Coturnix japonica: one gene and its partner. The protein of the gene in region 1 binds, or shares a complex with, the protein of each later gene. Links are inferred from orthologs where the notes say so. Each region holds a gene or a part of one and is shown on either strand. Other genes may lie near its edges. The genes, in order: CNOT6L and CNOT11.

Region 1 (4,400 bases):
ATCCACTGCAAATCCTCCTGAATTAGATGCAGAAGGTACGCACCAAAGGTATTTAACTTATTTTAAAGGTCTCTCGAGTGCTGTGTTCTGCTCTCTAACAACACATCCAACCTGACGCTGGCTCTTGAAGCCCTGCAGACCAGGTGACACCCGGTGCCTCACGGGCACTCTGGACTCACAGATCTCTTCCCAGAAAGCAAACCATTTGTTTGGATGTATCCCCCGCCCTCTAAACTTCAGCAACCTAAAAGTCTCCACAAGGCTGATCTAAGCACCAGTTCTGTGCTGTTACAGGAAATCTGCTCTAGAGCTGTGCATGTTACCGACACTATCACTGAAAGTAAAATGTTCTCAGAAAAAAGAAAAAGCACCTCCCCATTTTGCACAGTGACTCTGAACAAGGAAGACAGCAGCTGCAGAGACCCACCTCAATGTAAGATGTTCTTTGCAATCCTTCAGGTTTAAATTAGGTAAAGACACACCCTGGTGTGCAAATTCATTAACTCTTCTCCAATGGCTCCCTTTTATTTTACCTCCACAGTCCACAGACGCGTTGGGATCGTGTCCTGGCTGATTTCTGTAGGACTGGTGTGAGAGCTGAATATTGCTGTGCTTGGCAAGCTCAGGGCAAAGCCTGCCCTGCTTTTTATAAAAGCAAGATCAGTAAGGAAAAACAGCCAGAATCCAAACAATAAAAAAAAAAAAAAACAACACCAGCTTATCGCCCGAAACGAAGCTTTACAAAGATCCTTGCAAGGAAAAATAAACAAATAGCAGTCATAACACCACTTACTTCAGCAACAGAATGGCCACTGCAGATGTTCCCGAGCTCCTGATACCCGGGGCAGGGAGAGGAGCAGAGGCTGGTGGCGTCCCCACAGAGACAGACACACCAAGTCCTCCCACCCTCAAGGTGCTGAGCTTTGCTGGCAACCACACCACCGCCGCTACAGGGAAAAACACTCTTCAAAACGAAAACAAGCCCTATCAGTAAAAACGCACTTCTGCAGATAACTGCATCTACAGCAGGGACTTCTGCTGGCACAGCTATGTCACTCAAGGGTCACACCTCGCCACAGCGTTCGCACACAGAGCTGTGCCAGCAGAAGTTTGCCATATAGGCCTGGTGTGAAGCTCAGCGGACCAAAATGAATCTGCAAAGTTTGGTGTTTTTCATAGTGCTGCCAAACAAACTTTTTCCAGCAGTCTGACAACGAGTCCTCCTACTCCTTTGTTACAGGCACATCAGCATCTCAGTTTCTGAGGGGAAAGGAAACCTAACAGCAGCCCAAGGATGTGGCAGTACCTATCATCCACTTACATCATACTTTATACTTCAGTGAAATTCACAGCCCTTGCAGGAAGAAAAGGCAAAACTGAATAATGTTTGTTCTGTTGTACTTCAGCACTCTTCATGCTACAACTCCTCACTTTTCATAGTGAGAAAAGAACATAACTGATAGTGTCAAATGGGGTTTGCTTAGCGAGCGGCACAGCGCTGCAGAATTCCCACCTCTAAGCATGACCTGGCGGTCACGAGACTTCCATCAACCCACAACCAGTTCTGAAGACAGCAGGCAAAAAGATTTCACACCTGGGTAGATATTGGAACATAAGTTCAGTTCGGATGAATCAACACAGTACTGTGGGCCACACATACGGTGATGCACAGATATGGCAAGGTATGGAGCAGTATGACATCACCAGCACACGCCACTCATTTACTCTGGAGCAAAATGACACAACCAAGTAGCAACATCCCATTACCCTCGGCAGGACGCAGAGAGCTTGAGGCATTTGCAGTACCACAGCTCTCAGTTTGGAGAGCTCTGATAAGGCACACACCGGCCTGCAGCGGGGCACAGTGGGAACAGAAGGGGCTACGCTACCTCTGTCAGTCTGGAGTGCCGCCAGTGCATGGCCATGCCCAGCGAGCTGCCGTGTGGACGGACAGTACTCTCAGTACAAGGTTCACCATCACATCACATTTTGGGAGAGATACAGGGAGAAAACATTAGTGGTGCTGTGTTTGCAAAGGCCACACTCCAGCCCTACCAAAGCCCTCCAAACATGGGTGCTGCTTCTAGGAATTCCTGGGCTTTCGTCACAGTGACGACACTCTTACTGGACACAACACGCTTTGTATTTCTTTGTTAAAAAACTTGCACAGGGGTAAAAACATCTGCAAATGCTAAAAACAGCTGCGTTATCATTACTTTCATTATTGGCCATGTCTACACAAGCCAGGAGCAACTCAAGGCGAGCTGCTCCCCTCCATGCTGCCTCAGGGTGGGGGGCAGCTGCCTCTCAGAGCTGTGCTGGGCACAGCGGGGGCAAACTGCCCACCCCACAGACCGCATGTGGCCACGGGCCTCCTGTGCCAGCAGAGACCAATCAACACAACTTGCAGCTCCTAAAAGTGGACACTCAGTCTCCAAGTTTCAGCAGCGGGCAGACGAAGCTGCTCGTCCCGAGGTCCCGGGAGGTCAGACGGAACGTGGCCGAGGTTTTTGGGCGATCAGACAGAACACGGCGGGGCCGCCACACCGCGGGACGTGCTCCGCCATGTTCCACAGAGAAGTTTCCGAAGCAAGCCCCGAATTGCCGGTGCAAACTCGGACGTTCGTGCCCGTCCTCGCCTCCGCCAGCAGCCGAGCGCGGGGCCGCGGCGAGTGAACCCCCCTGGAGGGAAGCAACGCTCCCCGCCGCCCGGCGCCCAGGTGAGCGCCCGGCCCGGCTCGGCGTTGGGCCCGGGTATCCCGCACGGCCGCGCCCGGGCCCCGAACCGGGGATAACGCGCGGTCCCCCCGCCGCCCCGCATTCCCTCCGAGCGCTCTCCCTCCTCTCCCGGGCGGGCCCGCCGTCCCTCAGCCGCCCGGCCGGACACTGGCCCCGGTGCCGGCGGGCGGCGCAGGCCGCGACATGGCGGTCCCGCTCCCCGCCAGGCCCCGGCGGGCCGCGGAGCTCACCTGCATCCGGCGCGGCGGCGGCTGGCGGCGGGGCGGCGGCGGCGGGGCGGCGGGCAGCAACGACATGCGGGCGGCGGCCCGCCGGGGACGGGGAACGGGGCGGCGGCGGCGGCGGCTGCGGAGGCGGGGAGGAGCGGGCCGGGGCTCGGGCGGCGCGGAGGGCGGGGGAGCGGGAGGTGGGGACGGGAGGAGGAGGCGGCGGGAGCGGGGCGGGCGGCGCGGGGACCCCGGGGAGGCGCCGGGACCCCGAGGAGGTGGCGGGGAGCCCCCGTTGGGCCCTGCGGGGCGGCGGCTGCTCCTGGGGACGCCAGTGGGGACCCGATCGTAGGGAGGGAAAACAGCCCTCCGTGGGTAATTGTCGTTAATTACGGAGAGCGCCGTCTGACAGGGCGTACGTGAGGAGCAGGTCGCCCCGCGAAAGGCCTCTGGCAGTCGCGGACAGACTGAGGAAGTGACTCAGGTGTCGGGGTGACGGGGCCCCGCGCTCAGCCTGAGCCTCTGGGGGCGTAGGGCTCGTCTGGCATCACCTCTGTCTCCACAGGAGGTGTCCCCCTGCTGCCAAACCCTTTGGGCACCGCGCTGTCTGTGTCTGCAGAGCCGTGTCAAAGGGCAGGTAGAGCAGGTAAATGGTGTGTGTGCCAGCTTTGGAGCACAGTGTTCTCCAGCTGGGCACACCAGAGGTGGAGGCGGCCTTCCTGTGGGGACCATGCCTAAGTTCTACAAGAAAATGTGTGGGTGTCGAATGAGGGAAAGATGGAGAGTGGATTTTAAAGGGGGAAGATAAATTATGATAATAAAACTAGGGCAGAGAAAAGTGCAGGTCTTTGTGGGTTCACCTGTGGGACCAAAATAGTCGTATGTGAATGAGGAGCACAGAAGGAGCCTCCATGGTAGAGCACAGTTCAGCCAGCTGTGTCCAGTGTAAAGGAGTGGTTGTGAGCGGGTGCACACATGTACAGAGGAGGGCAGAGGGAGAGAGAAAGCAAGAAAAAAACCTTCAAGAATAACTTTACTGGGATGCGTTTTTATAGGAGAAAAGTCGTGTGCTGCCTCAGAAAGGCATGGGCACTGTGACTTCTATGACAGCTGCGCCTTTGGCTGGTCTGGTCATTTCCTCTCCTGAAAAATACCCACCCAATGGCTCACTGAAGGGACTGTACCTTCTCTTCTCCCGTTGCCTCTGTTAATCATTCTGTACATCTCCCGGCTCCCATTACAGGCCAGGGCCTCGCCACCCTCACCCCAGGTATTGTTTCCCTCCCTTCTCCAAAGGGAGCGTAACTGAGAAACCAGGTTCTGCAAGTGGCTGCCCAGGGTCACTGCTGGCAGGACCAGCATCTCCTGGGGCTTCACTAGGCACTTGGGTGGCAGACTGCAGCCATAGGCCCTGCTTCCTCTGCAGAATACACTGGTTACGTCTACATTCCTTGC
Region 2 (4,584 bases), on another chromosome or scaffold:
CCTCCTGCAAAGATCCAACTGATATTGATTTGAGATGAAAACAGAAACAAAGCGTAAGTCGGAGTCATCGAACCAGGGAACAGAAATAGTGCCAAGTGAGTCAGGCGTGCAATTGCAGAGCTCAGACGATAAAAGCTGAATACTCCAATTCAAGTTCAGAGTGAAGAGTTTCCAAGTGATGTTCACATAGGAATCCAAGTAATCATAGAATTACCCAGGTTGGAAAAGACCTTGAAGATCATCAAGTCCAACCACAGCCTAACCAGCACCCTAACTCTAACAACCCTCTGCTAACTCATATCCCTGAGCACCACATCCAAATGGCTCTTAAACACAACCAGGGATGGCGATTCAACCACCTCCCTGGGGAAAATAATAATAATGACTTGACATGGGCTGACACTTGAAAACTGCCTTAAAATACCCAAGTGTCACTACAGTTCACAGAAGCTCAAGAATTTATCACCAACCATGTTTGTTTCTGAATGACCATGGAACAGCACATATGAAGCCATTGTAAAATCGTATCTGGGGTGTTTTTACAAAATACATCCAAGAATCGCTTGACATCTTTGAGGTCTGATGAACAAGTGAAGCTCAGGAAGGCTTTTAGGCATTGTTAGCACGCCAATATTGTTGATTACTCCAGGAGTAATAAATCTGTTTCTGTTGTCTCATGGTAGGTTTTGAACTGAAGAGCTGAACTAGGAAAGATAACATGCAATGGTCACTAGAAAGCTGCATATGGAGAGGCTCACACGAAACCTAACTTCCCCAACCCTTTTAGATTTGTTGCTATTAAAAATACACTGTAGATGGGCAGGGTCACTTAAATTACTAAGGGAAGGAATCTGTGTACAAGAGAAAAGCCTTGTGAGAATAAACAAAACAATCTGGATGTGTTCTGATTTCCCCTTTGACTTCAAGGTGTGACTTAATTCCTTCCCATCGTGTTCTTCCCATGTGAAATGTGGGATAAAAATACACCAGTGGAAGTTATTTCCTAGCTGAAGGATTCAGCTTCTTCGCTAGAAGAAACTCAAACACTTGCTGTGAAGCAGGTCAATTTAATATCACTTCTTTGCCACCTTTTTCTTTCACCTCCCTCCTGCTGCCTATTTCTGTTGCTACCTGAGCAGAAGCACCACAGATCTACTTGAGAGTGGATGAGCACCCAGACAACTTGCACACACCAGAAGCACAAAATCCGCTGCTCAGTTTCAGGTCACAGAATCTCAGAATTGTAGGGGTTGGAAGGGACCACTAGAGGTCATGGAGTCCAACCCCCCTGCCAAAGCAGGCTCCCTACACCACGTCACACAGGTAGGCGTCCAGGCGGGTCTTGAATATCTCCAGAGAAGGAGACTCCACCACCTCCCTGGGCAGCCTGTTCCAGTGCTCCATCACCCTCACTGTAAAGAAGTTCGAACTTCCTATGCTGTACTTTCATCCCATTACCCCTAGTCCTATCAGATGACAGCACCACAGGGCGGTGTGCGTGGAACGCGCTGCGCTCCCCCTACTGGCCCCAACGCCCGTCGCGCTCCGTCCCCGCCCCGCCCCGCCAGTCCCGGCCCAATGTCCCGGCCCATCCCCTGCCGTGCCGTAAAGCGCGTCCGGCGCCTCAACGCTCGGCCTTCCGGTGTTGTGCAGCGGCGGGGCCGTGCGCCGTGAGGCGGATGCCCGGGGGCGGGGGCAGCCCGGCCGAGGCGGGCGGTGAGGCGGGAGGAGCGGGTGGCGGCGGTGGAGCGGCGGGCGGCAGGATGAGCCTGTCGCCGAAGGAGCTGACGAGCCTGCTGGGCATCGTGTCGGAGGAGGCGGGCGGCAGCACCTTCGAGGGCCTCTCCAGCGCCTTCCACCACTACTTCGGCAAGGCCGAGCATTTCCGCCTGGGCTCCGTGCTGGTGCTGCTGCTGCAGCAGCCCGACCTGCTGCCCAGCCCCGCGCAGCGCCTCACCGCCCTGTACCTGCTATGGGAGATGTACCGCACCGAGCCCCTCGCCGCAAACCCCTTCGCCGCTGTCTTCGCCCACCTGCTCAACCCCGCTCCCGAACGCGGCGGCGACGAGGCGGAGCGCACCCCGCTCTCAGGTGCCGGGAACGGCCGGGGCTGTGACAGCGGGAAGGGTCACTCGTTTTGCCGTAACGTTACTGTACGAGATGATCTCTCCACGCTTAAGGAGCACGCGGGGTAGTGATGGCCTCAGGAATCTTACCGCTCCCCTCTCTCCCCGCAGGCTTCTTGCCGCCCATAACCCCGCCCGAGAAGTTCTTCCTCTCGCAGCTGATGCTGGCCCCCCCCAGGGAGCTGTTCAAGAAGACCCCGCGCCAGATCGCTGCCATGGACGTTGGCAACATGGCCCAGTCGGTGGATATAAGCGGGCTACAGCTGGCATTGGCGGGTAAGGAGGAGATGTGGCTGTGCTGTGATAGGAGAGTGGTTAGGCCCTGGAACAGGCTGCCCAGGGAGGTTGTGGATGCCCCGTCCTTGGAGGTGTTCAAGACCAGGTTGGACGGGGCCCTGGGCAACCTGATCTAGTAAATGTGTATGTTTGGTGGCCCTGCCAGGCAGGGGGGTTGGAACTACATGATCCTTGAGGTCCCTTCCAACCCGGGTCATTCTGTGATTCTGTGAAATGTTAATTGCTGTTTGACTTTGAGGTGCTTCTGTCTGTGTGGCAAAAGTTGGACTGTGGTCAGGTTTTGCAGTGTTAGCTCACACTAAATGTTCTGCCTTTACTAGGCTATAAGGAACTCAGTGCTTATTCTTGGGCAGGAATAGGATTGTTCTGATCGTGTGGAGCAACAAGTTGCATCTAGAGCTGATCTGAAATGGAAAATATTGCTTAGAATGAGTTGCCAACTCGAGCAGTTTATTTCCTAGGTACTCTATTCTGCACAATACAGTACTTGGCTTCTAAACTTCAGTTCAGTTGGTGACGTACTGTAACAGGTTGCCCAAGGAGGCTGTGGATGCCCCATCCCTGCAGGCATTGAAGGCCAGGCTGGATGTGGCTCTGGGCAGCCTGGTCTGGTGGTTGGTGACCCTGCACATAGCAGGGGGTTGAAACCAGATGATCACTGTGGTCCTTTGCAACCCAGGCCTTTCTATGATTCTATGATTCACTGTGGTAACTTTTCTTGTAGGCTCTTCTATTGAATGTCAGTTGCTGGAATAGAGCGTCTTGATTCTCCAGATCAAGAGAGCCTGATAAAACATAAGTGATTGCATTCGTAGGAATTGTTTTCTTCAATTTGAACATACTGGTTCAAGTTGCTGTGTTCTCTTCTGAAATACAACCGTGTTCTAGCTAACAGCGCTCACCCCTTCCTTCTGCTTACACTGGGCTGCCCAGGGATGTGGTGGGGTCACCATCCCTGGAGATGTTCGGGAACATGTAAGAATGTATCTTAAACTTTTGTTCTAATTAAGCATCATTAGTCATTTGAGATGAGGGGATTTGAGGGTATACAACCAATCCATGACTTTATACCTATATAGGTGTAAGTTTTAGACTACGGATGACAATGAAGGACACCCAGTATGTCACCTTGTTTTCTTCTCAGAGAACTTCTTACGTTGACTCAGCTGATCCCTGTAGGAGCTGAATGGTAGAACTCACAAGCTGGAATTTCCAACAGCGTATAAAGTTTGAGCATATATTCCAGTGTTTTGCATGGGCTGACATAATTGGAAGATGGACATTTCTAGTATAAACTAGCAGTAGGCAGAGCTTTGTGTCTGTGTCCTTTTGTTACCTACAGGAGTTTTGCTGTAAGCGTCTCTCATGGATCTGAAATAGAGTTTCATACGGATGAGGAGCTGCAAAGGGTTATATGGCTGCACAAAAAAGTGTGCTTTGTTAAAAGAGATAAGGATGGGGTACTGAAGCTGAGGGCACTACACTTAATTAATCATCCGGATAAGAAATGGTGTTGATTTCGTGTGGGACCAGCAAATTTGGCCTTCAGATTACTTGAGACTTTATCTGCTACTTAATATCCTCCTTGGGAGGGGGAGGGAAGGAACATAAGATGGCATTGTATGGCAGGCTCTTGGCTTTCCTGCATGTTGTTGGGCTTTTGTTGGTTTGCTTTTACCAAGGTAATAGAAAACATGGTTCTCACTAATACAGAGAATATGGAAGGTCAGCCCTTAAGCCTTCAGGTATGGAAGAGCGAGAGACTGTGACAGAAGAACACCTAAAATTTGACAGTGCAAATATTGATTGGTTGTAATAGTTTATTTTACCACTCTTTCACGTCTTCAGCTTCATATGCTAAATTTAGTATTACTTCTATGTACCTTGTTTATGCTCTGTAATTTGGGCTTTAGAGGGATGCTCTTACAGGACTTTATAGCTGTAACTGTAGAATCCTGTATCAATTAAACTCCTATGCAAAAGCAGCTTACGTGGTGCCACTGAAGTGTGTTGGCTGAATCTGAATAGGTGACTTCAGTTCTAGTATGACCCTTATCATTGCAGAAAGTAAATGTATCTCTGCAGGTTTCTCTCTTCACTGCTCTGAGAAATGATTGCAAAAGTAGATAGAGTTATGCGAACTCTTTCAGGACTATCATGT

Evidence for each region.
Region 2: CNOT6L (region 1) and CNOT11 share a complex: the UniProt entries of both Homo sapiens proteins name them as parts of the CCR4-NOT complex. The link is inferred for Coturnix japonica from reciprocal best matches to the Homo sapiens genes CNOT6L and CNOT11.

Annotation. Positions count from the first base shown.
Region 1 is NC_029519.1:30,849,130-30,853,529, reverse strand, and holds the start of CNOT6L (CCR4-NOT transcription complex subunit 6-like), read right to left. Parts: upstream 3,039-4,400; 5' UTR 2,970-3,038; intron 2,721-2,969; coding exon of another isoform or gene 2,231-2,720; exon of another isoform or gene 2,216-2,230; intron 942-2,215; exon of another isoform or gene 794-941; intron 373-793; exon of another isoform or gene 1-372. Other genes in the region: MRPL1 (39S ribosomal protein L1, mitochondrial), read left to right, coding at 2,231-2,720. UniProt on the Homo sapiens protein: Has 3'-5' poly(A) exoribonuclease activity for synthetic poly(A) RNA substrate.
Region 2 is NC_029516.1:120,253,389-120,257,972, forward strand, and holds the start of CNOT11 (CCR4-NOT transcription complex subunit 11), read left to right. Parts: upstream 1-1,607; 5' UTR 1,608-1,679; coding exon 1,680-2,091; intron 2,092-2,237; coding exon 2,238-2,402; intron 2,403-4,584. UniProt on the Homo sapiens protein: Component of the CCR4-NOT complex which is one of the major cellular mRNA deadenylases and is linked to various cellular processes including bulk mRNA degradation, miRNA-mediated repression, translational repression during translational initiation and general transcription regulation.